Struthio camelus: one gene and its partner. The protein of the gene in region 2 interacts with the protein of the main gene of each other region in a pairwise test. Links are inferred from orthologs where the notes say so. Each region holds a gene or a part of one and is shown on either strand. Other genes may lie near its edges.

Evidence for each region.
Region 1: the proteins of PSMG1 (region 2) and PSMG2 interact in binary tests that used the Homo sapiens proteins (3 or more experiments, as listed by UniProt). The link is inferred for Struthio camelus from reciprocal best matches to the Homo sapiens genes PSMG1 and PSMG2.

The regions. Positions count from the first base shown.
Region 1 is NC_090943.1:113,581,464-113,598,081, forward strand, and holds the start of PSMG2 (proteasome assembly chaperone 2), read right to left. Parts: upstream 6,313-16,618; 5' UTR 6,145-6,312; coding exon 6,070-6,144; intron 4,629-6,069; coding exon 4,457-4,628; intron 3,629-4,456; coding exon 3,570-3,628; intron 2,621-3,569; coding exon 2,502-2,620; intron 1,193-2,501; coding exon 1,019-1,192; intron 1-1,018. Other genes in the region: CEP76 (centrosomal protein of 76 kDa), read left to right, coding at 6,424-6,486, 8,174-8,329, 8,654-8,735, 9,106-9,330, 10,439-10,624, 12,347-12,444, 13,154-13,282, 15,193-15,384. UniProt on the Homo sapiens protein: Chaperone protein which promotes assembly of the 20S proteasome as part of a heterodimer with PSMG1.
Region 2 is NC_090942.1:123,298,043-123,314,305, reverse strand, and holds the start of PSMG1 (proteasome assembly chaperone 1), read left to right. Parts: upstream 1-8,127; 5' UTR 8,128-8,360; intron 8,361-8,384; exon of another isoform or gene 8,385-8,812; 5' UTR 8,813-8,821; coding exon 8,822-8,940; intron 8,941-9,242; coding exon 9,243-9,352; intron 9,353-11,066; coding exon 11,067-11,218; intron 11,219-11,596; coding exon 11,597-11,659; intron 11,660-14,121; coding exon 14,122-14,320; intron 14,321-15,266; coding exon 15,267-15,403; intron 15,404-16,263. Other genes in the region: BRWD1 (bromodomain and WD repeat-containing protein 1), read left to right, coding at 3,888-5,035. UniProt on the Homo sapiens protein: Chaperone protein which promotes assembly of the 20S proteasome as part of a heterodimer with PSMG2.

The DNA of each region.
Region 1 (16,618 bases), on a different chromosome or scaffold from region 2:
GCTTCATGTTTTCTCAGTCTTGGGTTTGTTCTTGACTTTCTGCGCCAGGAATCCCAGACTTTGGAAGAGTTACTCAGTGCATTGCTTATGCACTTAGTTTGCATTTTTGTCCTCTTGTTGAGGCACTTACACAGACCCTTCGATACAAGGAACATCTTTCACTGTATTTCAAAAATTGGTTTTGCAGCCTGCATACCACTACTTTACTTATAAAATTCCCGCTTTAAGAAGTCAACAGTAGATTATGGAGAAGGAAAATTCAGGCAGGCAGAGTAGAAGACAGCTGATACTTAGAAGCTGAAGAAGTTCACTGATAATTATAGTTATTAATACAGGGAAAGAAAAAAAGAGGGACAAAAAAAAGTAAGTTAGAATCTAACTGGTCAGTGAAGGGAGGGCTAATACATTAGATAATCAAGCTTAACACATGGATTCTTAAATACACCTGATTTGACATAATTAAAAGGCTTTAATCTCAGATGGAACATTTTAAGTTTATCCCAATCTGAAAGCAAATGAAAAGGTGCAGTTTACCTCAAAAGGCCAGCGGAGAGGGGGAAGAAGAAGGAAATCCATGAGTTTGCAGTATTAGTAAATCAAAGCATGTGCCCATCAACCTAACTCATTCAACCAAAACCAATGCTTCTGAACATTTTTTGCCCAAATCTTTTTGAAAAATCAAAATATGACCTACACAATAACATTCTAATCATCAAATGAAGATACTTCAAATAAATGGAAGAAGTTACCAAAAAGAGGCAGAATAAAGAGATACTTGGGATGCAGCTCTAGACTTAAACAGCAGCAAATAAAAATGTGTGACACACCGTTTAAAAGCAAGTCTTCCACTTGAATGGATAAACATAAAGACAAGCAAAACAGAGCTTGGAAGTATTTCTAAGAGAGACGATGTTACAAAATCCACCTATGCCTCCTACCAGTGAATCAGTAGCTTAAAAAAACAATTTCACCTATGTACTAAAAACAAGACATATGTTTCTGTATGCAGCTCACTCACCACTCAGTAAACAATAGTTTTGTGATGCCACCTCCTGGTATATGTAGAACTTTCTCTGTATCACTTATTCCAGGGTAAGCTGCTACTTTTTCCATTTCTTTCCATTTTAACCCTTGCATAAGGCCTTCCACCGATTTCTCAAGAGCAGGTGTGAGTAGGTAGCGTAGAGGAGTTCTAGGAACAAATCAAGAATACGTTCAGTGTGAGAAAACAAGACAACATAGATGTTATTACTTGCGGTGGAAAGGAGCTGCATGCATCAAGTACTGTTCAACTTTCTGCCACACATATAACCAAATGATACATTTTGCAAAAATACACTTGAATCTGAAGCAAGTTAGATAAATTTCTTCCTTCAGAAATCACCACTGCATCAGAAGCATTAAAAAAGCTCAGCCATTATTTTTCCCCCTGAGTATTCAAGATACGTGCCAATTTGGGCATCTAAAAAGAGGGTATCAAATATACAAGCACTTAAATAGGAGAACTGTTATAGGCTTCTTAAAATGATTTACAAAAGAAATGGTGGCTATTCTTCCTTCCGATGGGAATTTATTCAATTAAAGTTAGTTAAAGTAAGCTTGGGCTTCACTTTGATATAATGTTTGTAATAAACTTAAACTACAAATATCTGCAGACTTCTGTTAAGTCTTTCAGTATTTCCTTAATGCATTACCTTCACTCATTAGTGTCTCTCTGGTATCAGACTTATTCAGAGTAAGTCACCACAACTGATGAACTCGGAATACATAAAGTAACCATCAGTCTCCCTCATTTCAGTCCATGTCTGCTGACCACTCTAGAAACTCTATGCAAAATCAATGGTAACTATATCTAGAACATGCATAGACCTAGACCTCCTCAGGGCTCTGAACATTTATACACCCTGGTGATAAGAGTTGTTCATTTTGAACAATACTTTTTTTTTTTTTTTTTTGGTAAGTCATAGATTATCAAGGCCTCGATCATCAAGCTATGCTTTTTCTTTTGTTTAACGGGTGGGGGGGGAGGCACACCTAATAAAACTCTGTGTAGTTTTTTCCTAGCAGGTAAGTATTGGTAACTGCCTATAAAAAGATACCTTACTAAAAAAAGAAAACCCAAAATGCAGAATAATTAAGAAGCGGTAAGAAATTCAAATATTCTAACTAAACGTTAAAAATCTAATCGGTGAGCTGTATGTTAGCAGCTAATCCCTGACAGCGCTTGCAGCAATAACAAACTAAGTTGTTAAAATCGAGGCTGATGGTGCAGGCCAAGCAGAAATTTACTTATGGCATATTATTTGCTCAGCATTGTCAGGAGACTAACAAAGCTCAGAGCCTAATGCTGTATAACACACTATTTTAATAATATATTAAGTATCTTATGATCTACCTACACAGTAAAGCAAAAGAACCCTGCCAAAAAGTACTAAGTATATATGCCAGTTTGCCAAAAATAACAGAAAAAACAATCAAATCATTTAAGGACACACACATACCCAAGAAGTTGCTCATCATCGCGCTGGTATGCATGGCTGCTAGACAGAAGAATAACTCTAGCACATTTGCTGGTTTGCACCCAAGAAAGCAGTGCTTGACAGAATGGCCTGTACTTGTTCTTTACGCAAAGAGAGAGGGGGGGGAGGAGAGACCAAAAAAAAAAAAAAAAATTCATGCCCTTAAGAAAAGCCACAAGTCTACAATACTAGATGTTATATTTAGTGTTCAGCAGTGAGGAAATTTTTTTTTCTTCATATCCATTCAGTCTTCAGATATATTTTTAAAAAGCAGAGGACACTGGTTGTTTACTTAATCAAAGATATATGTATAATTATAAAAATTATGAAAACCACATTAATAATAACTGTATCACTCATTCTGTGTGCCATTAATATCAACGGGAAAACCTTTAGAACAATATGGGATGATAAAATTCCACAGTATTTTCCCACAATTTAAACTGCCAAAAATACTACAACACAATTTACTCTCGTGTGGTGTTCTGCCCATTTTAAATCACAGCCACTATACAGTTAACAGTTAATTTTAACTGTTTATATATAATGAATAGAGAACAGCAGGAAATAAATGGGGGTGACAGCAAAAATTAAGCTATTTAAGAAAAGACAAATACACAAAAACAATAAATATGAAGAGAAAAATAAACAGGCGGGAAACAGACCATATTGTTTTGTCAAGACAGTTAATAACTAAGGACATATTTTCACTAAATTCTACTGAATTAGCTGAGCTGTTTCAGAGCTTGAAACAAACAAGCAAACAAACAAATCTCAACCATTAATGAATGTAGGAGACAGCTTTTGTTAGCTAAAATTTTATCAATTACGGAAGACGTTATATCACTAAGCAGAAAAACATTTTGCTTTTTTTTTAAAATGTATATTTTGCTGTTAAGACATTATTTCATAATAGGGAGCACGAATTTTTTCAGTTGTGCTTATTTTAAGATATTATAATAGAGTAAATTCTTCTAGACCATTTGAAAACTACTGGCCAGTAGAACAACTGAACTTGAACACTGAAGTGAGAACAATGAACATACGTACCTTTATAAAAGGTGATCTGATCTGCAGAACTACAAGTTTCCTTGAAGGTAATGAATACACTACAAGGAGAAAATAAAACAGTGCATAACAAAAAAAAAAAAAAAAAGGATCTGAGCTTAGAAGTATCCAGATTTATCCAATCCATAAATCTGAGGTAAACCTTTCAGCTCTCTTACCAAATTGTGAATTATTTCAGGCTTTTCAGTAATGTAAAAAAATACGTATTTTTGTGCATCATCTTCACTGAATCTAATTTCACTTGGCATAAAAACAAAGGATTGAATGAAGTAAAAATTTATTAAAAACAAAACAAAAACTATCTCCTGCAGTGACTCAGATAAACTCTTTATACAGCTTTGCAGAGATTACGACAGATTATCTCGAGATTTCCATGATTTAAAAGGAAAAAACAATATAATTTGAAATGCTATGATCAAGACACAGAAAGGAAGTGAAAACTTGAAGGTAGAAAAAAGAAAAAAAAAAACCCTCCACACTAGGAAAAGGCAAAGATAGGTGGGAAGGAAGAAGACAGGACGAATATCCTTTTATACTCTAATTTAGCTTGCATGCCATGCTTTACTGTAGGTATGGACACACTTTCCACATTATCTAGGATTAAAACTGCAGAGAGATTCAGCAGCACTGTAATATGGTTGAGATTCAACATTTCTTACCGGTTCCATGTTTCAAACTATTTATGCAAAATAACAAAAGTAAGTTTCCTCCACAAAGTGTAAATTTACATTCTTATCTGCGAGTCAGAGATTTGGTTACAAAAGTTATTATTGAACTTCATCTAAAAGGTAAGAAAAAAAAGGAGAAACATTCTTACAACTGCTTTCTACAGGCAAATATTTAAGATCTAGCTTGCATTCAATACATACCTTCAGCATTTATACTCAGCTCCGTTGAGTTTTCTTCTGCAGTTGCATATGGATTATTCCCAACCATTGGCACAAGGCAATCAGTGTAGAAGTAGCCAACTTTAGTCATGTCCAGTGTGGAAATCACGAGGTCTATTGCCAGTTGACCAACATTTCCCACTGACACTGCTGGCTGAAGTAACAGAAGTGTTTTAGCATTACAATAGTAAAGACATAATTCACTTAAAGAATTGCAGCGTGTTTTATGGACAATACAGCATGCTTTTGCAAACAGTGAAAACTTAAGTTAGCTGAATTCCGGTTAACCATATGATTTCTTAAAGTGGCACCATTTTCTTACAGAAGTTACTACTTGTTAACAGCTTACTAATATATAATGTGGTCCCTATGCCACAAATACATACTGGTTGCTTCTGTCAATAATCCTGTCTCATTATAAACTTAAAAAAAAAAAAAGGCTTGGAGACTGGTGTCCTCGTGTCCTCCCCAATCCCCCCTTTTTTGGCTACAGAGTAGATAAAAATCACTCCAAAATCTAATGCAGAGATTGGCAGCCCCAAAGTGACAGTGAATGGCAATGCCGATACTGCACGTTAAATCTATAAATACCAGATTGTCCTAAAAACACAAGTAAATTAGCATATGTTATCACCAATCAAAGCTGATGCTGACCCAATCTGAGAGCATACAAGGAAAAATTCAGTTTGCGAGTTTGTGTCCTTCTACAGAAGCTGAAAATGGAAGACAACTGTAAAATTTTCAGTTGCCTCCCACTCATTTATAAGCAAGCCCGTGCCTATGAACTGCTGCTGCCCAAGGGCCAGCAATCCTGGAAACACAAGGAATTTGATGCCGATAACCTCAGAGCGAAAAAGGATGTAACAGCAGTTACAGACCGTCATTACAAATTGCCTGGTGCTCAACAGCTTGTTATTCCTAGACAAAGAAAATAGCAATGACCTATTTCCTGTTCCCAGTCAGCTGATCTGGAATGACTTCCTGTATAAAATCTTGTACCTCATGTAAATATGCACAGTCATCAGGGGCGATCTGGCCCTGATGAAAGGCGATAAGGTTACCCTTAGATGATAAAGTAAAGGCACTTACTAATAGGAAAAATAACGGCTTGCTACTTCACAGCCTGTACTAGAATTCGTACCCTACAATACACAAAGTAACCTCTAGCAGTTTAATCTTACATCGATTTCACGTTACAAATTATTAAAGTATTTTCTAAACCAATTCCAAGCTCAGCTTAAATATAGCACAGCTAAGGAATCTGCCACTGAAGACTAGTGTACATAGCCTCTCTCCCCCCTTCCCCCCAGGCCGTTGAGAAGTTTCCGGGGCCGACCTCCGGACAGGGGAGAGGAAAGCGTCCCCGGCCTGCCGCCCCCAAAGCGGGAGCGAGCCGCGCGGACAAGCCCCCGTCCGCGCCCGCCAAAGCCTCCGACGCTGTTTCAGGCCCCAGCTGTAGGAAGCCCCCCCCCCGCCCCGAGAGCCACGGCCTCGAGCAGCAGCACGTCCCTCACCCCCGCCCCGGAGCGCTCCATTCTGGCAGCACCTCCCCACGGCCGCCTCGGCGAGAGGAGGGGAGCAGCAAGGCCACTTACCACGAGCAGAGTGAAGCCGTCAAAGTCCGAGCTGGCGGAGGGGCCGCCGCTGCCATGGTCACACGGAACAAACATGCCGGCAGGAAGAGAAAAGAGCCGCCCCCCTCCTCCTACCTCAGGCTCCCCCCCTCCCCCGGTGAGGCGAGTGGGCGAGCACGGCCGCCAACGCAACGGCCGTAACCGCCGCCGCCCTCGCTGCTCCGCCCGCGAGGGGGCGGGGCCGGGCCCGCCGCGGCGGCCGTTAGAAAGGCGGTTGGGGGCGGGGCTTAGCCCGCGGCGCGCAGGCCGGCGGCCTGGTCTTCCACCCCCCGCCCCTTTGCCGGAGTGCGGGGCGTCGCGGCTCGTCCCGCCGCCATGTCGCTACCGCCGGAGAAGGCCTCGGAGCTGAAGCAGCTCATCCACCAGCAGCTGGTCAAGGTGAGGGCGGTAACAAGGTGGAGAGGCCCCCGGGCACTGGGGCCCGTCCTGAGCGCGGAGCGACTTCGTCTACTCGGAGAAATCCCCGGTGCGTCGGTGATAGGGACCCCCCGGCCCTTGGAGGCAGCGATGCCCGCCCAGGCGGGGGAGGCGCCTCCAGCTCCGTGTCCGCTCCCTCGCCCATCCCTTTTGTTCCCCCCCCCCCCGTACTTCAGCAGGTTCATGTACTTCCCGAGGTGCTGTTTTGCCATGTTGGCGCTTGCGGCCCCCCCCCTCCCCCCAAGAGGGCCTGCGAGGATCAGCGCTCTGGTCTAACGGCCGCCTTGGCCTCCGGCCTTTCCCCGCCCTCTCCTGCCGTCCTCGCTCTTTCCCTTCGTTTCCCCTTTTCTGGGCGATGGAGCTGGCATCGCCCCCCCCCCCCCGGTGCTGGCGCTCCCGCTGTCGGGGCTGCCCCGTGGAGGGCCGGCGGAGGGGAGCGGCGTTTTCGGCCCTGTGAGAGGAGGCGGCGGGGGGAGGGGGGGAGCCACGGCGGCCGGAGGCACCGGGAGGCCGTCTGTTTGCTCGCCGCTTGTTGAGCGAGAAACTAGGGCGGGGTTTTGAAAACAGTGGGAGAGAAATATCAGTGCTTTAGCTCGCATCGCGGAAGTATCGCAGTGTCTCAGTGGCTATAGCCTTGCATCGTTCCTGTGGGAGAAACAACTTTAGGAATACATGCTGTTTCACAGCTGAGCCATCGAAGTACAGAAATTCTGGCTTTATGATCATAGAAAAAGCTTGCGATGGAGGCTCCCTATTTGTATGCCTTACCTGCAACAATCTAAAGTTTTTTTTTTCCTTTCTGTAAAAAGTAAGAGGAGGAAAAGGAGGAATTGAAGATATTGTTCCAGGGGAACACACAGATTTTATTGCTTCTCCGCTCATGGGTTTCCATTTAGATTCATCTTGCAGGTCAAACACGCAGACCTCCACAGCATCAGAGGGCTGACAGTTTCCAAAGAACTTTTGATGGTTGAAGACACATCCTATGGTGCGATAAGGATACAGTGGCTTGGGCTGTTCAGCTAGTGGAGGCTCATCAGGGCTGATAGGACGGTGGATGTACCTGATCAAAAACATTCAGTTTATTTCCCATACACACATTGCCATAAGTTTGAATTTTGAGGGAGAAGAGAAATTAAAAGCATGGAAGTTTTATAATCAATGGATTTGCAGGGCTGTTGGTGAGAAGGGATGTTCGAGGCTGGGGATGCTGTCACAAGCAGTGGAAATGCTCAGGTTTGGAATGCTCTTAACTGGTGCAGTTGCTTTGGTGAGATAGTGTGACTTGCTGCGGTACTTCTCACTAAACAATAAAAAGTTGTTTGGTACACATTTATGTGCAGAAAGAGGTATTCTTTTGGTGCAGTTATCTCTGTATTCCTAGGAGAATACCCGTTACCTTACAGAGAAACGTTTTAGTGCTAACTGTGACCATATAAGGAGCTTCATTTCTTTTATTCTTATTATCATACTTAAGCCTCAATCAAGGAGGAAAATGAAAATAAGTTTGAAGAGACCAGTCTTGCATTCTGCTGTGATACAGCTGAGTGCGAATTTAAATACTGTGGGGGTTATTAAGAAGTATTATTTACAAAGCTTATGAGAGTTTGAACATGTATTTCTAGCATATGATGAATTTTCTGTTCAGATGGATGTTCATGGCAAGATCAGAGAAGTTCTTGCTGAGACTATACGTGAAGAGTTTGCACCTGAGCATCAACAGTTATCCACGGAAGACCTGATAAAAGCCTTAAGACAGCGAGGAATCATTGATGATGTTATTAAAGAGCTTAAATTTGTAACTGTAAGTAGCTTTTGAAACATGAATGTATTTTGGTTATTCCTATTATCGACTTGATGTTATGACAGCTCTTTTACTATAAAGTGCAGACTCAATTACTTCTAAGTGCTTATATTAGCTTTACTGAGTTGTAAGTACTGAGTTGGTTTAGTGTTAATATTACACTGAAAGTACTTGTTCAGTTCCCTTACATCTTAAATCCTACAAGGCAATATATTTGAGAAACAACAGTCAGTAGAAAGAGAGAATTCTTTTAATTTTTAAGAGACAACAGGAATAGCACTGTTGCCTCACTTGATTCTTTAAGAAGTCTAATTGCAATTCCAGGAAGTGAATGACAAGGAGAGGACTTCAGCTCCAAAGCCATCTACGCATTTTGTTGACAGAGAACCACCAGTTCTGAAAAAAGGTATGTTGCTTGTTTATTTTAATGTTTGGATTATAGTTTTAAAATAAATTAAGTGCAGGTTTATTGAGCTCTTTGAATTAATATTACAGAGCGAATTGGATTCATTTAAAGTTTCCATATTGTGCAGAAATAGATGTTTTTCTTACTTGTCTAGATGCAAGTGGGTTCATATAAACAGCAGAAGTTAGTTGCACATAAAATAGCATTTATTGTATATTATCTTCCATAAGTTTTAAAATTGCTTTCCCCTAAGCACTTGTTTTGAAAGAGTTTTTTTTTTTTTCTATTCTCCACTTAGATAACAGATATTTTAAACATACTTCCTAAGATCTGTTTGTAGTTTCTTCATATTTATTGCTACGCTTTACAGCTAATATTAACCCAACACGGAGGTATCTTTACCTTCAGGTTTTGGGCGGAAAAGCTTTTCTGGAACATCTTCAGGAACCGGAGCCTTTGCCTGGCCAAATCTGTTCTACCTTCACTCTGTGTTTGCATTTTCGGAATCAGCGCTTCCGTTCTAAACCTGTCCCCTGTGCCTGTGAGCCAGATTTTCATGATGGTTTTTTACTTGAAGTACACAAGGATAGCCTGGGTAAGGAAGACTGTGAGTTTGCAGTGGATGCCGTTTTTTATTCTAACATTACAGTTATTCTAAAATGTGCTTGATATTATTTAATGTTTTTTGCCTGTTTTTATAATGTATTCCTAAGAAAAACAATTGCTGTATCAGGTTCCGCTACTTCTAGATCTAGAACTGATTCTTACCTATTATTTTCCTTCTTTTCCACTCCAAAGTAACTTTTAACCGACTTTATCCAGATGTAACAGTGAGATAGTAGTGCCAAAGATGGTAGATTCATGTTTTCCTGAACCTTGTGCTGAGAAGTGAAGAAAGGAGACCTTTTTTTTATCGTATGGAGGGAAAAGCTTCTGCGTGAGTTTAGTCTGCCTGCTAGTTGGCAAACACCTGCAGAACAGTCAGTTATCCACAGCCTATACTGTCTTTGTCCTGTTATTAGCTGGGGAACATAGTAGGGAGCTATGTGTGTTTTAAAAAACGGTTTCTGGAATAAACAGGGGAATCTTAAGGTACTGGGATAAAGGAAGAGGAGGCTGATACTGTCTGAATCCTGTAGAAATTCAGGGTAGGTCATGGAGTGTCAGAGGACAGAAAGAAGGCTAGAGTTATAGCAGGCCTCTGTGTGAGAGAGAGTGAATATACTGCGAATTCGGAGAAGACCAGGCTTTGTTAATTCTGCTGCTCATGGAACAGTTTATCTCGTAGGGTCAGAGCTTAACTACAGAGGAAGCTGCTTCCTAAATATGGATGCATAGTAAGTTGACCTGAAGTGTTACCACTTATTAAAATAATAACGCACGCATCTGCAGTTGCTTTTACTTATTAGTACATAAAAATAACTTTCTTATTTTTTAATAATATTTCAATTTTAATTTTTGTACAATTAAATGAGTTACCCTGGAGTAGGCAAATATAGAAATCTGTTTATTGCCTCTGTCAATTAATCAGTTGTAATCTTTCTGTAGCTCTGTCCTAATCTTATTTTGGTTTAAGGTGGGATTGTTGTTGCTTACACTTTTCTTAAAAGGTAATGTATGCAAGGAATGTAAATGCATATGCTTTAATTTTAAGGCGGTATTGGGATGGTAACATTCTGGCTGTCTGTGTTTAATGATGGCAGGTGATGGAAGTAAAATGGTGGATGCAACCACTATGTTATCAATATCGGATCCAGTGCATATGGTTCTGATCAAAACAGACACATTTGGTGAGACTACACTAGTAGCATCCTATTTCTTGGAGTGGCGATCTGTCTTGGCTGCAGAGAACGGTGTAACAAATGTTGCAGTTGAACTCCTTGGTGTAGGTAAGAATACACAATAAGGGTAAAATGCAAACACTTAAAATATTGGCTATTGAGCTTGCTTATAAGGTCAAAGCAGTATGCAGTTTAATTATGGTTAGACTCATGAATTGATATAAGGTATCTTTAGAAAACATTTATATAGGAGACCAATGGTCAGATTTTTCACTGTTATCAAGATACTAAAAGTGTGTATTCTAGACCCTCTGTCATAGTGGTCCCCTTGTCAGATGGGAACTCTCCACTATGTGTTTTTTGCAAAATCTGCATAAGTTATCAAAGCTTCCTGCCTCTTCCCCGCATTCAACTGATTAATATCCATGAAAATCTCAGGCTAGTGTACTGAAGAGTAAAATCTAGTGTGTCCCTTTCACAGCAAAGTAGCAGCTGGTAGATGAAGTTTTCTCTGCTGTGCTGCCATTTGTTCTGGTTGCTGGAAACACGTTTCTGCTAGAATGGAGGACCAGCTTTGTTTAAGTGCTTCACAGTCAGTATACATGTGTATTTTTATGTATTGCTTCTGCATATGGCCCTTTAGGAGTTTCCAGGATATTATGATTTAGTAGATAAAGACTAGATACAGGGCTAAATCTATTATGACTTCCTACTCTAGCTCTCCCAGAGGCTTGGCAAGTAGTAGTTGATGAGCCATTTGAGCGTTCTTTATCACAGTTTCTCGACCTGTTAGGCAAGCAGTCCTTTCTAATTTCATAAGATATTATATCTGCAAAGTATTTTGAAAATTTGATTTACTATGTAAGTTATTCCTAAATTTTATCTCTATTACCTGCTTTTTGGGGGATGGTTTAGTGCAGTGTTTATCCACTGGACACAAATCTAGTAACCTTATTTACTAATATTTTTTTTATCAGCATTAGTTACTTTTGGATATGCTGACTGTTGACAAAGCGTACTAAGTAATACGGCTTTGGGTAGGCTTTCAAGTAGAGAGGTTTTCGTCTATAATTATTTGGAAATGCATACAAAATAATTTGAGCATGATACTTGGGGGAGAAGGGGAAGTTAAGTCTAATTACTGTTAATTCTTCTGAATAATGAAGAAACAATATCTAAATCCAGTGCTTTTTCTCTTCCGAAGTCTTGTCATTGTACAAAATACGTCAATAATATGGAAAGATACTGTCATCTCAGATAGACAAACTCCTATATGAGGCTTCTGTTACTCGTATTACTTATAATCCCATCTCTCTGATTTTTTTTTTCTTCTTACTGTTTATCTAATTCTAAATGTTGAGCTTTATGCAGCAATAGTGTTTTTGTTTTTTTGACTAATGTATTATTATAGCGTACTGGGTCCTTCATAATACAATGTATCTCAGGGAAGATTAACTTAACTCAGTTTTAACTGCCTACGTCTGATCTACCTGTGTGGTCAGTAGAAACAGGCACTTTTTCAGTGTGATTCACCTGATCTATTTTAGGTACCTATTCTAGGCACATCTAGAACGCTACTCATCATATATCCTGGTGTTGGCTGTAAATGGAACTTGGATAATTGTCTAAGATGTAGATACCTCTCTTTTCAGTCTGATTACCCTTTCTTTCAGTGTCATTTGGCTCATTCTAGTGTGACATTTAAATAAAGATACTTATTTTGCATATGTTGAAAGGCATTATTTTTTGTACTTCTTGTTCCTGTATGGCTGGAATGTTGTAAGTAAAAAGATTTTGAAAAGACTAATCAAAATGTATTTTGATTCTAAGGTACAGAATCAAAGGTTTCTGTCGGTGTTTTAAACATCAGGCTTGAAATGTATCCACAGCTAAATAAGATGCTGTCTCCAGAAATCACTAATACTCAAGTAAGTGATTTCTGGGTGGGCTGACTTTTTTGTTTTGTTTTATATGGGCAGGGGGAGAGGGAAAAACTCAGTATAGAATTACTCACGTAGATGTTAATGCCGGTGAGGTTTTTGAATGTCTCGTATTAATTGTTTTTAATTTGATTACATTATAATTACATTTTCTTAAACTATTTTTATATACTGATCATTATGTGAAATATTACTGTAGCAGTTTTCAAATTACCTTTATCAAAACCTTAAGAAGAAAAATAAGAAAGATGCAATGCGCTTCAACTGCACTGCAATTTTCTGCAGATAGTAGCTGTGTTTCCTTGCTCTCTCCCTCATCTGAAAAATCATTTAAACAGTCAGTTTTCCTGCTTGTAAAGCCAGTAAATGTTGGCCTGCAGGTAAATGCAGGTTTTCTTCCACACTTCACAAGCCGAGCAATCCTGTGCAGAAACGTGTTGCTAAAGAGGAACACCGTTTCAGTCAGGCTTGATATATGAGCTTACATGAGCCTTCTAATAAGAAACATAACTTGAGGTTTTCATTCCTTGAATTCTAGTTTGAAAATACAATTCTTCATTTGTATGGCATGTTTTAAATATTAAAGCTTTATTTCACCTCTGCCAGGATTTGATGTTAATATATTTATTAATTTCTGATTTTTGTCTTTGGAGTTAATATATGTGGGATTGTTTTGTTTTTGTTTTCTTACCTGCAGTTTTCTTTGGAACGTCAGAAAACAGCAGAAAAAGAACGATTATTTCTTGTATATGCTAAACAGTGGTGGAGAGAATACCTACAGATTAGGCCTACGCACAACATAAGGCTAGTAAAGATTTTTGCACAGGTTTGTAAATTCTACTAATAGAGCAATCTGTTCTTATCTTATTTTGTAGATATCTTATATTTTGTACATCTATTTTGAAGTTTCTATGTGTGTAGAATGTGTATAGATTTATGATGTGGTTACAGTCAGGTCAGGGCTACAGCTGGTGTAGCATGCAAAGAATGAAGTTTCTGAGGATTGAACTTTTACATATTATCGAAGCTTAACGATACAGAAATAAGGGCTACGTTACAACCCCCAGTGTACAAATTAAAGTTGGTTTAGTCTTTCCTTTCAGTTCTCACAAATGACAAAGACTCAAGTGGTTTATACAAACTATTTCAAACAGGTTTTATACCAGCTGAAACAGTTATAAAAAGTAGACATGCTACATGATCCACTCAGTATTTGAGATCTGTGTGGCCTGTAAAGTAATTTGGCCAGTTAGAATTGCAGGCTAGCTGTAGACATATGAACAAATTATACTAAGGGAATAAGTTACTGTGTGTCAGTTGCTCCTTGGTAACTGTCCCTTAGTAAAAGAAATGGTGTAATACTTTGCATTTACTGTGCTATGAATTAACATGAATAGGAGCAGTTTTCCTAGAGTGGATGGTGTGCGGTAGCTTGCTATCTCAAAGTCACTTCCTGAAGCAATTGGTACCTACTGATTCTTTTCAGTGAAATAACTACTGTTCTGGCTGTGCAGTGAGTGTTCAGTAGTGAGGTGAGCTTCCAAATTAGGGTTAAAGTTTTCAAAGCAGGGTATGTAGGGAAGCAAAACCTGTGATTGGATTGGGAATTGTGGAACTGGAAATTTGGTTGGGGACATGGGGTAAAAATGAGACTTGTGGCATTTTGAAATCACTCGACAATAATCTTATTCAATCTCTGTAAAGCTTTATAATGGTAGACTAAATGCCAGTGGAAATAGAGAAATGAGATTATCAGAATTGTAAGAGAAGTTCAATTATCACATCATCATCCACTTTTGTATGCATAGTACGGAAGCATGCGTTACAGATATGAGACTATATTGGAAAACACATGGAGTCCTGACTGTGATCTCTACTTGCTTTCTGCCTGTGAATTCATTTCCTACAGGATTCCAGTCAGCTTCCAGTAGCTGCTGCTTTTCTTATACCAACCTGCTGGAAAAACATGACAAAACCTTAACGTGGGCAGTATGTGACCACAGTAGCTGATAACTTTTGAGTATAAAAATATCAGACCATGATTTCCTGAAGCTGCAGAAATATAACAAGCTTTGATGCCTTTTTAAATACAGGAATATAAAAGTACCATTTGGCACAGTGAGGAAAGGTACTGCTTAAAACAGTTTTAATAGTTGATAATCATAGTATTTCCCTGCAACACATGGTAGAGCAGACTTTTTTCCAGTCTTATTTCTCATTTTTTCCAAGAAATCAGAAATTCTTAGAATTATTCATCTCTCCATTCTCAGTTTGTGTAAATCTGTGGACTTCATTGTGATTAAATTTCATTGCTTCTTGGTGTTATGAGAGGAGGTAGTGTTCAAATTCAGAAGCAAATCACTACCTTTTAAACTCGATTTTTTTTTTTTTCCCCGACTTGATGACATGTGGAAATTGACTGTGGATGGAGCATGAACAGTTCCTCACTCATTTAAGGAAATGGACTTCAGCCTGTAGTGCTCCTACTGTTTGAACTCTTAGTCTGGAGCGTTTGAACTCTTAGTCTGGAGGTAGAGCCAGTGGGAAAAAAATCTAACTTCAGTGTCTCTCTTAAAGAATTATTGTGCCTTAATTCTAGGAGAATTTTTATGTCTTAATAATCTTGAGTGCTATTTATTTTGGGGATAGTAGATCTCAGTGCAAGAAAGAGTCTGACATAAGATGAATTTTTTGTGGTATTTGTATGGCTGACAAGTAACCATATTTTATGCTCAGGATGAAAATGGGATAAACCGTCCAGTATGTTCATATATCCGACCACTTCGAGCAGGCCGGTTACTAGACACACCTAGACAAGCATCACGATTTGTCAGTGTCCTGGGTTATGAAAGAGCTCCTGTCATTGGAGGAGGTGGTGGCAAACAAGAACAGTGGTGCACCCTTCTTGCTTTTCTGTGTAGAAACAAGGTACATGAAATAGTCTTTGTATGAGATAATATAGCTGGATATTGTAATTGAAGTTAGTAATACGTTACAGGCTGCAAATCTATGGATTAAATCCGTTTCATAGCATTGTCAGTTACAAATAATAGCCTATTGAGAATCTTTTTAAAGAGGACTGTAGTAGACAAGAAGGATTTAGAGTGGACTTTCGCATTTGTTTTACTACTATTGTTAGTGTCTATTTATCAGTATATCTGTCTCTGACAATAAGCTTGCTTTTCTTCATTTGCTTTTCTAAGGTCTCATCCATGAATCCCTGCTAGCATGCAGGCCACAACTTTAAATTCTGGAGTAATCCAGGAAGAGTTGGAAAAGTCTCTTTTGAAAAATAGTCGTTTTGTGGATGTGCTAAAATATGCTGTCAGTAAATCTTAATATTCAATTTTTGCAATATAGGGATTTCCACTGAAAAATTCATCCTAGTTGTTAGTATCAGACATTCGTATCATATGACTATAGTAAATGGAACATAAATTGTAGCTCATTGTGGATTATATCGCTTCTGTTGTATGAATAAAGCAGTATTTATTCCTTTTAATCACTCTTTGGGGTGATCATTCCTTTTAATCACCACTGAAATACTTCTGCTTTCAAAAATATTTCCGCTTATATTAAAAAGATCTATTCTTTTTGGCAGTAGAGGCTGTATCCCAATTTTTAGACCTCCTCAAAGACTACACAGACTAGGTATTAGCTACTGTCTCTACATCCTAGGTCATTCATAGATACCTTATAAAGGCATATTCTCAGCTACCCACTAGATTCTGCGTAGAAGTGATGGTAGTGACTTGTCAAGTGAAGAAGTCATTACTGTGTTAAAAGAAGCTTACTAGCCACCGGTGTGGGATAATAAGATTATTTGAAAATTAGTATGGAGGTTTTAGTCTAGGTTGTCACAGTTAGTGTTCACATTACATGGTTATCAGAAACAACCATGATTTCGACTGTTTTTCCTGCCCTGACCAAAAGAATAAGGAAGGTATAAAAATGGAAGGAGAAGTATTGCTAGCCTCACACCCTAGTAAATAGTCATTCTGCAGTAGATCTGAAACCTACTGGTTGGTCTCGTGCCTAGACTTGCCCTGCTGTAGTTTATGTGTAGCTCTTATCTGTCTGCTGGACTTCTCTAGCAGTCTTGGAAACTGTAGCAGGCTGATTCACTCCAACATAGTATATACAAAAATAATCCAGATAGTTA
Region 2 (16,263 bases):
GGTAAAGCTGCCACTCATAAAAGCAAATTCAGCTTTTTTTAATTTGCAATTGGCGCCAAACATTGGCAAGCATCAGTGTGCATTATAAGTTGCGTTGTCAAGGGCAGCATCTGTTTAATGACCATAAAATTACCAAAGATTTTAATGAGAATCAGTGCATAAACAGTATTTTTTCTTTGCATTCATACTCACCTTTTTACTTTAAAGTAGTTAATTTCTTATGGAATGATCTTACTTTATCTGGAAGTGATTAACCTCCCCTGCCATGTGTAACATCCCAAATGTTGAGGTGCAAATATGGCAGAATGTCAGTTGTGTTTTTGTGTGTATTTTTAACAGTTTAAATTGATGATCTTTTAAAATGCTTTAAATCAAATTAAGGGGGCCCATCTCAAGGAAAGTGTTAAAGCTATGGTAAGTATAGGCGAAGAGTGAGTATTCCTAAATTTCTGAAAGGTCATGAATATGCTCTTTAAAAGTTGGTAAGGATAAAGTGTAGTAATGAATACTTGTATTGTTTCGGTCTCATTGTAGGCTAAGCAGAGTCATCTGCAAAGATGAGGCTTCTGTAGACTGTTTACTTTAAAAAAAAAAAAAAAAAAAATTATCATCATATTTCCAGTATATTCGGAAGCAGTGGAGCTGAAGACATGGGGCCAAATTTGAGACCTTCTTTCATGAGAAAGGGGAGTACATCATTGTCCTGTACGTTGTTATTTATAGGCAAATAGCTCTCAGGCAGTTATAATTTACCTGCCTTTTTGTGAGCCGTTCCCCACAGTGTTCTACTGAAAAATTAGTTGGCTGTTACAGGAACTGTAGCTAATTTTGGAAAATATTTACACTAAAATACAAAGTATTTATTTTCAGTTTTAATTTACCTAACCTTTATCTAATTAGGAATATTATTGCAGGTAATCCAATAACAATTTTTAAATTAGCAGGTGCCTTCTATAGCTCATTTTATTCCTCAGCAGACGATTGATGTGACAGGTGCATTGTTATCGCAACCTGATTTACTGTGGTTTGCCAAACTGATGTATGAATTGTTCTTTTCTGAAGAAGCTGACGATTTCTGTAAATACGAAGCTAAGCAAATTAGCTCTCCTAAAAGTTATCTTTAGGTACTGCTGGAGTATACTTGTGCTTTTGTTTAAAAAAACAAAATAGTTTCCACATAAATTGAATAGTTGGTAAACTGGGTGTGAGAAACACTTTGTGGGCTGTGATATAACCTGCTGATTAGCTGACTTGGAGAGATGGCTGGATGTTCGTACCCTCTCTTGCGGTCTGGACTTGCAGGTTTAGAGTTTGGTATTGCGTAGTTTCATTAAGCAGATGCAAATTTTGGTGTTCTTATTGTGTGTGGGGATGTTCACTAAGTTATTCTGGAGTTGATTTTAATTCTGGTAAGAAGCTTGAATTAAAAATTAAGATCAGCTTTACACGTATTTGTGCCTAGTTTAAGACTTTGTATGTAAAGCATAGATTTAACCCAACGGCAGTGTTGCAGGAAGACTGGACTTCTGTCTTCAGTGGACTGTCATGCTGCTTTTATCCTTCAGCCTTGCATTCTGTCCTCAGAGTTTCAGCAGCTAATTCAGAAAATATGCATAATCTGTTGTGATGGTCAAGCTTTTTTCTTTAAAAGTATGCACCTTTAGATGCAAGTACCTAAACACCCATCTCAACTGACGAAAAGCTTGTGGGCATTCTTTCTTTTTTGTTGATTTTCCTTGGAATAGTTTAAAACTTAAGGGATTACCACTTGAAACGTGTATTTCTTCAGGTGGCCAGACGTGATTTGGTTAGCACTCAGTATTAAGGCTGGGCAGTCCTTTCAACCTTTCCTAATTGCCCTTCTAGAATGCGAGTGTAGCTCGAAAAGTTGTAGAGGAATCTTAATCCTAAAGCTGGGTTATGCATTTCTACACTTGTTAACTGGACAAAATGTCTCTTTGTACCAGTAACTTGTGTGTTGTTGTTTGCCGTGACTAGGAGGCTGCAGCATGTTGTTGTATGTATTTCCAGTATTTTCCTGTTTAAGATATAATTTAGCACTTTAAATCTCTTAAGTTCCTGTCTGCTCAGGCTTGCCCCATAATAACTGTTACAAGCAGCAGCCCTATGTTGCTTAAATGTTTGCTTAATAGTATTGGAAGACAGTATTTAAGTTAAGCTGGCCTTTTATAGTACTGAATACACAGTATTCAGCGGAAGAGGTTCTCCCAATAAAGTGACATAGTACAAATAGCAGGAAAAGTGTATAATTTCTGGAAACTATTAGAAAAGACAGTGTACGGACTAAATTAACCTCTGGAAATACCAGAATAGGTATACTGAGTTAGTACATGAAGTCTACCTTGAAAATGATGTTGTCTAGGTTTGGTGTCTGAAGAGATTTTTAATGTTGATGCTCAAACTGGACATTTTGAATTTGTGTTCTGTTACTTTCTTCAACTTAATTGTCCACTGTCTTTTATAATACATCTTTACTGTATTTATTCTTGTCAGAACTTAGGGAAAATATTACCCTATCCTTATTTCACAGGTGGGGGGAATCAGGGCACAAAAAGAGATCAAATGACTCGCCAATGCTAGCGCGATAAGTTGACCAGAGGAGTAAGGAACCAAACTATGGTTTTAAACCTTAGGCTGGTGTTCTAATGTCTGGGTGGTCATAGTCATCGTTCTCAACAGACGTTTGGCCTTGCAGTTCGATAGCAGTTCAAAAAGTTTAAACAAAATCAGCAGAGTAGTTTTCTTTATCTGTCTGTAAAAGAAGGTGAGAAAGAGCGTTTTCTCTGAAAACCTCATCTCAGTTGTATGGTACGGTCCCTAAACTTTTAGTTTAAAACATATTTAGCTGCCTACCTTTCTGCAAAGTAACGTATAGCCACTGCCATTATTTTTTCCTGTGCTTTCTGAGTGTAGGTTGAGAATCATTAAAGCTGATGAGTTTGATTTGGAATAAAATTGAATGCTTATTCTATTATGCGGAGTTGATAGACTAATGTTTTGATTATATTAGTGGACGCTTTCACAGAGCGAGTGCTTGTCCATAAAATCAGTAACTGTTCCAAAGAAAGATGTGATAGACATCAAACTTGGGAAAACTAAGTTTGCAAATGACATTTCTGCTAAAATAGCAAAATGCTATTTGTTTTTTATCAATTTTATGCTGATAAATCTACTTCAAGAACTTTTAGTTTGAGCAAGATCTATTAGAAGGTGAAGGTTTAAATCATTTGTTTTGGCAACATCATTCATATTATTTACAAACTGAATATTTATTTAAAACCCAACATAAGAAGCAAGTGCTGTCTTAAAAATACTGAGTCCAGTGTTAGAAGCAGTCTTACTGTTTAGGTCACTGAGGAACTGAGTAGTTTAAATGTTCTCTATGTATATGAAACAACTCTGAAATAGTGAAATCCGTCCAATGCTTGTGTCTGCATAAAATGTTACTGTGCAGTTTTCAGAATGAAGAGTCTGAAATGTGTGATAGTTCATTTTTAAAGGACGTTTTAGGAAGAAAATGACAGCTTTAACAGTGGAAGTATTCATAATGTTGAAGTGTTTGTTTGCTAAGTTAGGTAATTTGTTACCTGGAAGCTACAAGTAGTGTTATGGTAAAGGACGTTACTTTCCAACCCTTTTGATTACCTCAAAGCAAAGGCGTAATGCTACGGAGTAATGCTGAGAGTTAAAAGTGTTCCTTGGACTGATTCTGAATGTTTTTAATAAAGGTTTAATGTAAATTGCACATAACAATTAGAGTTGAAAAAAGCATTTGTGTATTTTATTAAAGGCAGTTGTGTTTGTGCTTAGTAAACTAACTTTTCCAGAAATGTAAGCCTTTTAACTTTCAAATCTTTATTTTATAGAATCGGCTTCTGAGGAGACTGGACAAAGTGGAAAAGTGCTCAGGAGCAGGACATGTATAATTAACTACAAAAAACATATAAAGCTGTCTAATGTGACGGAGAAGAAAAATCCACGCAGATGTGCTACTTTGGCAGCTAATAAGATTAAGATAATGAGTGATACAAAGGAAGAACTATCAAGCTCAGAAAGCGTTTGCACAGGAAAAAAGAACAGAAGGCAGCTTCATGGCAATGGATCAGCAGCATCCAGGAAAAAACTGATCAGCAGCTCCGAGATAGATGTTAGTTTAAAGTCTGAAAGTGAGAAAGAACAGTTTGCTGGCAGAAAAAAACTTTCTTCCTCTAATTCTGCTTTTAAAAGAAAATACATCAGTGAATCTGAAAATGAAAAAACAGATTCTGAGGCAGAGATAAAAATGACTCAAAAGCAGAGTGATGATAACCACAAGCAGCCACACAAAACAGTCCGTGCTGCCTCTCTTAAAAATGCCACATACAACTTTTCAGAGGAGAATTCCAGAAACCACAGTGTGGAAAATGGGAGAAATTGGAAAACTTCTAGTCGGTCAACTTCAGCCCACAACAACTGTAGAGTGAGCAGCTCTGAAGATGAGGCAGATTCTAAGTTAGCCAAACGTGAAACTAAAAATATCAGAGAGGTATCAAATAAAAAGTCTAGAACTTCTTTCAAAAGAGCAAAATTATTGAATGATTTAAAAGAAACAGCAGAATCTGAAACAGGGGGGAGGAAAGATGAAAAAAGCTCGGTATCGGAGAACGTGGAAACACCTGGGACCGCAGGAAGTTCAAAAGCCTATTTCAATTGTTCTTCTGATTCAGACTCTGGAACTGACAACAATAACTCTAGTGATGCCACAGAAACAAAAAAGAGGAAAAGAAAAGCAGAAGTCATTAGAAAAGAAATCTCAAACTCCAATTTGCCTAAGCCTTCCAGAAGACCCCAGCGAAGGAAATGTTGTAAACTTAATCAAGAAAATGACTCTGAAGATTTGGATTACACCAAATACAGAAGAGCTAATCGGCGTTCTAAGATAAGAACTCGAAATGGGGGTAAACGGACTGTGAGATACGACGATTGTGACGACGACGATGATAGAGGTTTAGATGATGTAGATTGTGAAACGTAACCTTAAAAAGAAAAGCCAGCACACTTTTTTTTTTTTATGGTAATAGCACTAGAACTCGTGATGGATGCTGGCTCTTCTTTGTCCTACATTTCAGGGAATATATTTATATTTTTCTATGAAAAAGTTATGAATGTGATTAGATCATGACTTTCTCCTTTTCATATTTTGACTTGCACTTGCCTGCCCATGTAGCAGCATTTAGCACAGATGCCAAAATGTGCCTCATTATAGGGGCAATTTTTTGTCTTTACTGGTATTTTATTACGTATAACAAGAGTTAAAAATGTTAAAACACTGCGCAACAGGTTAATAGCAGTATGTTGAGTATTATTGTTATGGGTGCTGCAATGGAATACTACCTAGGTCATACAACATTAACACATTCAAGAACAGATTTCAAACATCTCTAATGCTGTATGAAATCTTATACAATAGTAACAGGCTTATAAATAATACTGTACACTATAAAAATCTGGTGGATGCTAATATTGCATCAGAAGAGCAATGAATGGTCACTAGGTTAATAACATTACAGCTTGTATTAGTACAGATGGTAAATGTTCTGTACTTCCAATATTGAAAACGTACAACTAGAACCAGTTACCAGTGAAAAGCATATTTGCCGATTAAAAAGGCATCATGGTGCTGGTAAAGAGAGGGTTTATGCTGACAGGTAGTACTACATCATCATTAATGTGACTTCTATACTGTAAATTTAAGAATATGAAATGCAGGTGAACTCTTGGGCCTAAGGGTTTTTGTGTGTTTTCTTTATAAAACAGAAAAACAAACAAAACACTTGTTCTGTTTTTTTTCTGCGTGAAATGATTGAGGTTCATTCTTACATTCCGTACCTTTTTTGCTATTTTTCCATTGTTCTTCCATATTTAAACTTCAAGTGCTTTAGTATTACTTTGCTGCACTGATTAAACCTTATCGGTTTCTGATTATTGTAGTACCCTATCTACCTATTTTTGGAACGCGTAAGACAGCTGTTGTTGACAACAAATAATTTTTCTCAGAAGATAGGAAAATATTTCTTCTGTTAAAATGTATAAATTCTTGGATGGCCAGGTATCAGATAAGAGGAATGCACAACACCTAATTTGATTCTCTACTCTTATCCAACTCTTCCTGAGGTGTGCTTAGTTTACTAGAGAACTAACTGGTCAAGGAGCAGCTTCTGGCCTCCCCTTGGCCAGTAGGAAACTTGCTGCCACAGCTGTAGCTGTTTCCTCCCTTGATGACATGTACTCATGGAGCTGTGCTTGCTGAAGCTGTAAGGTTACTGCACAGCACTAGTTTCTTGGCGATTTCTGCTGCTTTCCCACTCTCCACCATAGCTTCCTGCCTCCGCTCTTCTGGGTCAGTTTCTCAAATGGTTGATTTATGTGATTCTTGATCTTAGTTCAAGAGGACGGATATGTGCTCATATATTTGTCACAACCCAACTTATTTTAACTGAAATAGCAAGTTTGTGAGTTAGTTTTCCAGCAGATGGGACAGGTACTAATATCTGGATGGGGAAAAGTCTTGAAAAACTGTAAGCAGTATAGCTGCATAATCAAGCTCTCATTGTATCAGCTTATGTGAATGGAAGTGAAGTAACAGAAAATGGAGTCCCAACCACTGCCTAACAGCAGTTAGTGAAAACCACTTCTCCAACAAGTTTGCTCATATCGTGTGCCAAAATGTGCATCAGCCATCACATCATTTTGGTATCTGATTGGTATCTCAATATAGAGAAAAGCCTGTTCCCCCCCCCCCGCCCCTTCCTCGAGACTTCTGTATGAAGTCCAGTGATAACCTAGTTTGTACCATTTTTGCCCTAGGAGCTTGCTTTTTTAATTAGAAGTAGTCTTTATTAGTTTAACTTTGTAAATTCAAAGTACCTGTTTATCTGAATATTTTAAGGTGGTTTCTCAATAGGGACACATTTGTGTTTAGTACTGAAATTTGGCTCTTTGAAGTGGCTTTGTGTACCTTACCTTATGAGGAGCATCTTTGTTAAAAGAGAATAAGCAAATTAATCCATAAATGGAATGAATTGTTTAGCAGCTACTTATGATCAGTGTTCTATGAAGTCTGACTGCCAATGTAGGGGCAAAAAAATGAGTATAATAGCTTGTAAGTGAGCTTCAGAATTTTTATTAATCTGAAGTTTAAACAGCTGAAATTGGGCTGGTAGGTTTGTATTTCTAATTCAGGCTTAGATTTAAAAAGATTCTTTTCTTTCTCTTCCTTTTCCAGGTGTTGTATTTTCTATCATACTGCATTTTTGCTCTTATACGTTCATGATGATCCTAGAAAGCTGAGCACAGGTTCTGGCCCCCGTACTCACATATCTGAGAGGGAATTAATAGCTTATGGACCATAAAATTTTATGTTACAAGCAAAGTAAATGCTGTTTTGTACTTTATGATTTTATTTATATGGACAGGTTGCAGAGAACCAATAGGAAGATGAATACTTGAACTCTTTTTTTAACCCTCTCGGAGTTTGTGAGCCCTTTTTTTTTTTTTTTTTTTTTTTTAAGCAAGTGTACTTAACTGTTGTCACAGGTTACTACTTTTAAGCCTTGCAGAAGCAGTTCTTTCATCTTCCTGGAAACTTAATCATTCAGCACTCTTTGTCTGGTCTAGCTGCACTCAGGGAAATAAAGTGATTTAGTAGACCTTTATTTAAAGCTGCTTGATGTAATGCCTTTCTAAGCTGTTTTTTTTTTTTTTTAAGCAGGACTTGAATCTGAGATAATGAATAGGCTAACAAGCAGCACGAACAGAGGAAAATACTAAAGATGCAGGACAAAAGCATAGGAGAATCAAATTCTTTAAGTACTACTAAGACTTTCATTATGATGTACGTGTAGAAGTGGACCAAAGTAAAGCTATACATACAACTGTAATTTCACTGTATTGTTATTTGCAAACCTTTGGTATGTTTAATCTTGCTGTATCGGTTTTTTCTGTCTCTGTATGCCGTAAGGAACCCAAAACAGGTGCTGTATTACCTCCCTGCCTTTGAAGGAACCATCTGCTCCGTTGTTACTAATGCAGCTGGGGGGGTGGGAGTGGGCTACCTAAAGTAAACATGCTGCTGTCATGGCTACGGTGCAGCTTGTAAGTGACGCAGGCCTTCAGCTCTCGGGGGCCCTCAGCCATTAACTGTCTAGTTCTTCTCTCGGCTGCTCAGCTTTTAATAAGGTAGATACTACTTTAGATCAGATACTGCCTTCTGCCTGCTAAGAGAGAAACGCACGTAAATCACGCTGGAAACCCGCAGTGGTGCTCTCCTTTCCCTTCCCCTCCTCCTCTATCCTAACCAGGTAAGGGGGGCGGGGGGGCTCCACGATCTGCGGCGGTGAAGGCAGACCCCAGCCGCGGGGACCCGGTGAGGCCGTGCCAGAGGCCCAGGTGGCGGCGGGGCAGGGCGGGGGCTTTCGGCCTTCCCCCCCCCTTCCCCCCCAACGCGTGCTCGGAGCTAGCCGCCGCCGCCGCACGGGCCTCCCCGCGGGGCCGTCTCGTGCCGCCGCCAACCGGCCCGGGCGGCTCAGCCGCCGGCGCGTGACTGGGGTAACGCCTTCCCAGCGGCCGCCCGTGGGAGGTCTCCTCGGCCTCGCTCTATGGTCTGCAGGGCCAGAGCGGCAGCAAGCGGGGGGCGGAACTCCATGGTGCGGGCGAGCGAGAGTGGCTGGGCGGTGCGCGCGTGCGCACTGCCCGGCCGGCCGGGGCATGACTGGCGTTCGGTACTGACTGAACGGCGGGGGCGGGGGGGAAGAGGGGAACGATGGCGACGTTCTTCGGGGAGGTGGTGGTGGCGCCCTCCCGCGCCGGCGTGGACGACGAGGAGTCGGCGGAGGAGACGCTGGAGGACCGGGAGATCCGCAGGGAGCTGGAGAAGAAAAGGTACCGTCGGGGTCGGGGGGGGCTCAGAGCGCCGCGGAGCCCGCCGTTCCCTGCGTTGCCATGGTAATGCGGTGCCCCCCCCCGCCGAAGGAGGCCCGCGTGGGGGTGGGAGGGGGGCGAGGGTCTGCGGCCCGGCCCGGCGCCTGGGGTGAGAGTGCGCCCGCCGGGGCCGCAGGGGCCGGCCGAGGAGCTGGCTGTCCCGGGTAAGGGGGGGACACCTTCAGCCTCCGGTGGCGGCGGCGAAGCTTTTTGGCTGCGCCGTAGCCAACTCGGGCTCCGGTTGTCTCCGTTTCTTTTGGTAGGGAGGTCGACGTCCTCTGGACCTTGAAATCGGGAGCGTCGACGGAAAGGGCTGCAGAAGAGCCAGTTTCGTGCTCGAGGTTTATAGTAGCAGTAGGGCATAGTGCTGCAGGTAAGCGTTGCAAACTGAAAAGCAGCAGCGGCGACTCTTACATAGCCTTGCTCTTCTACTGTTGCCTAATACTGGAAAAGTGGGAGGTTGGAAGGAGGTCTGGTAAGTGTGTCAGGACACTACGAACTCCCTTTGCTGTGGTGTGATTTAACACCGCTTTCTGTAGCGACAATTATCCGTAGGTATGTCCAGTTTTTCATTTAGGTGGCAGGGTTTTAAGCCTGAGGCTGTTGAGAAGATCTGTTGAGAGAAATCCAAGGTTAGTCGACAGTATGTACGTACACAGCACGATTCTTTTACAGCTGCTTATTTTTGTCAGATCCTTTCTGATCACGGCAAAAGTCTTTAGATTTTAATTGGGGCAGTCGCCATTTTCCTCTGGATGACTTGTGTTTGGTGGACTCTCCTGGGCTACATGTTACTTTGCAGAAATTTGCTTCTGAAAATAGCAGCTTGCTCTGTGTGTTCTAGTGTTTTGAAACAGGGATCTATCAAGGATGTAAAATTATGGCTCAGTAAGCTATAACACTTCTGTTTATACTTCAGAGTTTCATCTGAAATACTGTGTATGTGTGAAATAGCCTGGAGATGCCTGAACAGTATTACATCTGCTGTTCTCAGATTGCTCTATACTAACTAAACAAAATATGTTGGTTTAAGTCCTTACTTCACATCCCAGAATTTTAGAAAAACTGCTGAATGAAGTAACAGGAACAGTATTATTTAACTCTTCCTATTTGAGTACAGGAAGGTCTCGGAGGTTTTGCTGTCCCCGTTTTGGAAATGTCTTTGTTCTCAGCCCATTTTACTCTGTAGTAAATGACATTTTAGTTTAATATTCTTGACAGAGTCTTGAATACAGAGATTTCTGACTTTAATTTCTTCTCTTTTTTTTCTTTAACATCTAATGAACAGTAACTTTACTTATTTTCCCCCCCTCAGTCTCTTTTCTCACAGTTTTATTCTTCGCGTGTTCGTAAAGCACTCTTTTGAGGTGTTTATTTACCTCTTAGACCTGGAGTCTTAAGACTCTCTCTCCCCTTCCCACACCCGCTTACCTAGGTCTTGAGTTTCTGAATAGCTCTTTCACAGCATACAGAACGAAGTTCTAAGTCTTCTCTACGTTTAAATCTCCCTGAAGTCCTTATTCTAGTTAACTAATTTTTTTCCTTTGATGGGTTTTCTTGAAAAATAACTACAGATACATTTTAAATCCATTTTCTGTTTCACTGAAACTCTTTTGATTTATAATCATTTGGCTTAAGGCCTCTTTTACTACCAAGTCTTGCATTCTGTTGTCCTTGTTTTCTAAAGCCGGTAGAATAGGTTTGTCTTGTTGACTCAGTGATTCTTTTTTGGAGAAATCTGTTGAATTTGCTATGTCAAGAAGTATTAGAGGTTTAATGTTTAGTAGCATTTGTTCTTAGTGTATGCTGAATGCATCAAAGTTGACTCTAGCAATATAATTCCTAATCATGTTTTTGATGGTAGAGATCTTTATGTATCTTTGGTATTGTTCTTCTAAGTCTCAGGGCTGTGAGGTTATTCACGTTCTTGATTTTTTGCTGGATTTGCTCAGTAAAAAAATAGGTAATTATTACATCTCCTCAACTTGAGGAAGAATTTGCAGAAAAACAAGCTAATTTGGTTCAGGTATTTATTTGAAGAACAGATGTTTTATTTCTGTATAAATTAACGGTCGCGTTCTTTGCAGCTTTCCTGTCGTCTTTTATTCTGGATTCCGTATGCTGGGAAGTAGTTGGAGCTATGAAATTGTGGAACGAATGGTGTCGAACATCCAACACAACAAACGTCCTCCCGACAGATTCTTTTTGTTTGTTCTATCGGTTAATATCAGACCCGACAGTAAGTGACTTATGCACGAATTCATCTGTGTGTTAACTTTGTGAAGAAAGAGCGATCTCCCCCGCCACAAATCATTAAGGTTGCAGTGTTTTGGGTTAATCCCATCAAAAATTGGAGGGGTCATATTTCTTTCAAATTTACTCAGTAAGACTGCCTGGAGTTCTGGCATATGAAGTTTGATGTAAAGAAGGTGTATGACAGGGCTGACTGCTTCACACCAGCTGTGAATCAAAAATTGTTGAAATAGGGTGGAACAAATCCAAGAATATTGAGCAAGTTGTTGGCTGCAATCACATCATCTTGACACGTGATTAAGAGCTATTATCATTGTGCTCTTTAAACCACTTCTTTACACATCTTTTTTGTTCTTTTTTTCAGGTTTTACTGTGCCAGTGCAGTTGCTATGTTGCCGAGGATCAACAGTTCCAGTGGCTTGAAAAGGTAAAATTGATATGACAACAAATGGTCCTGTAAATAATTGTTTTCACTGGGGCTTTCTCTTCTCAAGTACTAAACAAACGAACAAATACCCTGTCTGCAAACGTTGTGAAATTCTTTTCTAGATCCTGCTGGTTATATCTCCTGTAACTCACCAACTTTGGGCAACTATTGGAGCAGTTGCACAATTTTGATTGGAGAGTCTTATTTTTGTTATACTTTCTACTTTCTAGCCCTTTTTCTTGTTGGGCTTAAATTCTCTTTGGCTTTCTTCAACTACGTTTCAATCCTGGGAGAATGCTTCCTTAAAAAATAATAACATAATTCCATTTGTACAGCTGCCAAAGGATTCCCAAACAAACCTGTCTTGAAACTCATGATGGATGGTATTTTTACTGACAGGCGTGCTCAGTTTCTTTCGCAAGGTGGAATTCTAAACGAAGGTGGCCCCTAAAGCACTGTCTGTCCAGTTTGTTTGTATAATCGGTTTGCTGTATAGGCTGCCCTTGCATCATTCAAGTGCATGGATGCTGCTAGGTCTTTACGTCTTTCCAAATTTCTTAATGTAGATTTTAGTAAGATAAAACCAAGGGGATAATCTGGCTATAGGTTTTCTTTATTCTGTTTAGCCTCAAAGAAGTGTTATTTATTCTGTTTTGCTCTTGGTTTGCCAACCTTCCTTCCTTTAATTCTTTACTGATCTGATGAACAAGCAGAGATGCTAAATCTATTAAGTTATGCTGAAGTTGTATAAATCTGTGGCTAGATGGAGGAGTGAGATGCAAAGCAGTGCATTCACTGAGAGCAGCTCTTTTGCCTGAACCAAATGGCATCTGCTCAGTCTAACCTGCCATCTGGCTGAGCCAGCACATCAGAAGGACTGCTTGGATGCAAGGGACAACCGTACAGGGTCACAGCGTGAGGGAACCAGAAAGATTATGGGAAGGCAGAGAGGACAAAGTGCTGGGGTAACTTGACTGGGCAATATAGGGTCTTGAGACACCTTTGTTTGTGGAAAAGTAGCCTTTGCTTGTTGAAGAGTTAATTCAGTTTGTTGCAGGGTGAGGACTGGGAGTTCACTTTGTAGTTTAGAAACTTAAGATGACCTTAAGCATTTTGTTTTTGCTATATTCCACATGTCCTTGTGCTTTATATAAACTGGGATTACAACAGAAAGATTAATGGTGGCTCTGCTGTCATCGTCCGCATTCCTGTTTTTCCAGCTATTTGTGTGTATATATTATTTCAATTGTGTGCGTTTCTGAGTGGTAGTAGGAGCGTACAGTTTTGCCAGGTTAATATTGCTGTGTATTTTTTGCCTTTATGGTTCTTGATATTTTTAAACGTACGGCAAAGATGTTGAGCTGGTAATCTTGCTTTGAGTGTGAGTTACAGACCTGTTCTGCCTACTTTGTAAATTCTAATTTACTGAGTGTTACCAGAGTCTTCAGTTGGATTTTCACATCTACGTTTGTCTTCTTACTAGGTGGGTACTGAGAAAATGAAAACACACAGGCTAAAATTTTGCAAGCAAAGTGCAGCCCAACCAGTTTTTCCAACAAAGTAAATGTACTGTAACTTGAAAATGCGTGCTTCTGAAGAGTTATGTCAGTTTTACGTTATAGTGATAACATACTGGTGTGAGGGAGTAGTCAGCTCTTCTTCTGTGATTGGTACAATATACAGAAACAGGTGGGTTTCTGTAGTGTTTATCAAATTCTGTGTTTACTTTTTGATCACAAATCTGAAGAGGATTGTGCAAAGGAAGATGCATGTTTGTCATAATCCTGCTCATTTTGACTGACGTTCTTTAAAAACAATGGAAGGCTGTGCAGCATCTGAATGTTCCGTGATGGTATGCAATGGATCCAAAACCATGTTTTGACAGAGTTTTTGAAACTCTTCTCTTTGAATTCAAGAAAAACTGAAAAATTAAGCTTCTCTTTTTCAATTCTCAATTCAAGGCGAATATAATCAAATGAAAAATCTGAGTAGTTAAAATGAAGAATCTTCTTAAATGTTCTGTAGGACGTCTGGAGAGCAATACAAGCAAATATGAGTTTAAAATGTCTGCAGCTTAGCAAGCTGCCTTCCTGTTATAAGTGGCCTTTTTTCATATGGAGTGCTTTTTCTTCTCACTTTCAGCATTACGGAAAATAGTAAGTTTTAATATATTTGCAGGTGAGTTGAAAGTGCCGAAAACCAAAAGCCTCTCACGAGAATCAGAAGACTTGGTAAATGTGTTAGCTGTTCTTGAGGTCGTCTTTCTCTTTCTATCCCAGATGCAATGCACGTGAAACTTCTGTCTGAAGTTTGTGACTCAATTGTAGTCAGTCATGCAAACTTCAGTTAAGCTGCCCTTTGCCGTCTGCACCTAAATTCAAATTTGATCTTTTTATGTGTTTTTATGCTATTATTGTGATAGGATAAACTTTATTTATGTTGGAACTCCATTTTTGTTTCAGGTTTTTGGCTGTATGAGAAAGGAAGGCTTGCAAGTAACCATTCTTTCAACATGTCCTGTAGCTGATTATAAAACTCAGGAATCCACCTTAACACTTCCATCTCCTTTTCTGAAAGCCTTAAAGACAAAAGAATTCAAAGAACCAGTCTGCTGCCCGCTGCTGGAACAACCTAACATTGTGCGAGATCTTCCTGCTGCTGGTATTCTGCAATTTCACTTATTTACCATGTTGCTGACTACTGCTGCTCACAATAGAAAATATGTTTTGAAGAGCATCCCGTTAGAATTAGAGTATTTACTTAATTATATGAGTTAGCTAGCAAGTTAGCTTTCAGAAGTTAGTTCCTAACAGTTTGACATCTTATATATTGCCTTGTAAAATACGAACATATTTAAAAACACAGACAAAAAATTCCTTTTATCCCTTAAATATTGGACATAAGAACTAGCAAATTCTGCAGGATATCTTCATGAAGTGTATTGTGTATTGGCTGTTTGAAACATATTTAGTCAATGAGAAATTAAAATGCCAAAATGCCTAGTAAGTGTTATTTTCATCTGAGCACCATACTTGAGGCACATATAGTCCTTTCTGTATGCTATGAGTGATGTAGGTTTCACCGTGCGACTGATGGACCTGATATAAAAGCTAGATTCAGTTTTATTCTTACATAATATAATAAAACTCTTCCAAGGCTTTTCATTACAAGGCACTAAAATAATAGTAGCACAATGAGTAAAAACTTGTCTATCAGGAGCTAAAGGGAGAAAATTTTCCAAGAAAAAGAACGTTTTTATGTACTTTCTTACGTTTTGAAATTTTATGTCTCTTTTTTTTTTCTTTTTCTTAAACAACAGTTCTTTTATTTTTGTTTTCCAGTATCATGTAATTTCTGGTTAAGGTATTTGCGAGGAACAAATGCCGGCTATAATTTAATACTTTTGGTAGCTCAGTTTCTTGTGTACCTGGAAGAATGAGGGATGCTGCACTTGCGGGCAGGATCCTGAGTATTTGATAAAGTTCTCAATTTATAAACTTTAATTTTTTTAAAGTTCTGGCCAGAACAAAATGAGATTTTACTTGCAGAATTGAGATTTCTTCTCTGCTGAATTTAATACATGGTTTTTTTTTTGACTTTTACTTAGTTTTGAGTTATTGCCAAGTATGGCAGATTCCTGCAGTTTTGTATCAGTGTTATACTGATGTCATCAAGCTGGACACAGTTACAATTGAAGCATTCAAGCCTCTGCTGTCTTCTAAAATCCTGAAAAATTTAGTCAAGGTAAAATTTTGTATTTAAAAATTAATGGAAGGTTCTGTCATCTTGATCTGTCTTTCGTCTCTGTTACATTCTGCCATTGATGTGCCTCTGTGAAGAGACCAACTAAAAGAACTAATATATGTAACATGCAGAAAGATGCAAACTTTATTAGCAAGGGTTCTTAGTGTAGACAGGGATTTCTGAAACAGTACCTGCTGTAACTATTTCAATATGTTTATAGGTTGCTTAGAAATAGTGAATCTATAGCTTCCCTCAAAACTTCAATTTAACTTTGCAGACACTTGAAATTGTAGCAGGATTTCGGGGAGTAACTTCTTGTTTAAGCTTCCCTTAGCGGTGTCTTGTTTTAAAGTGTCAAAGTATATTTATTTTTTTGACATTCTCTGTGCATGCTCAAGATGATTCTGTTCTGGCACTGTATCTACCTGTTTTCAGCAATATCTGAAAGTTTCTTAAGAAATAAATTTTGATCTGCAGGTTTTTTTGGGGACTTGAAACACTGCAAACTTATAAAGTTGATTCTTACAGTTGCGTGCTAATCAAATAGCTTTGCAGTCATCACATTCCAGCTCCTGAAGTCAATGTTTTCCTTCTTTCTGAAATGTTTTTTAACTGAAGCTATTTCAAAATACTCTCCTCAGTTTTGCCAGTTGGACTTCCATTTAAATGACAGAGAGGCAAGTGTATACTGGAATACTTATTTCAGCTATAACCATAGGAATTGCAAATTAGTTTTCATTACAGCTTGTACTGGCCTACTAAATAAGGCTAACAGGCTAGTACGTAAGTGTTTAAACTCTGAAGGAAAAAAAATGCAGGTTCTTCCTCTCTTGGGTATAACCATGCAAGGGAGGATGAAT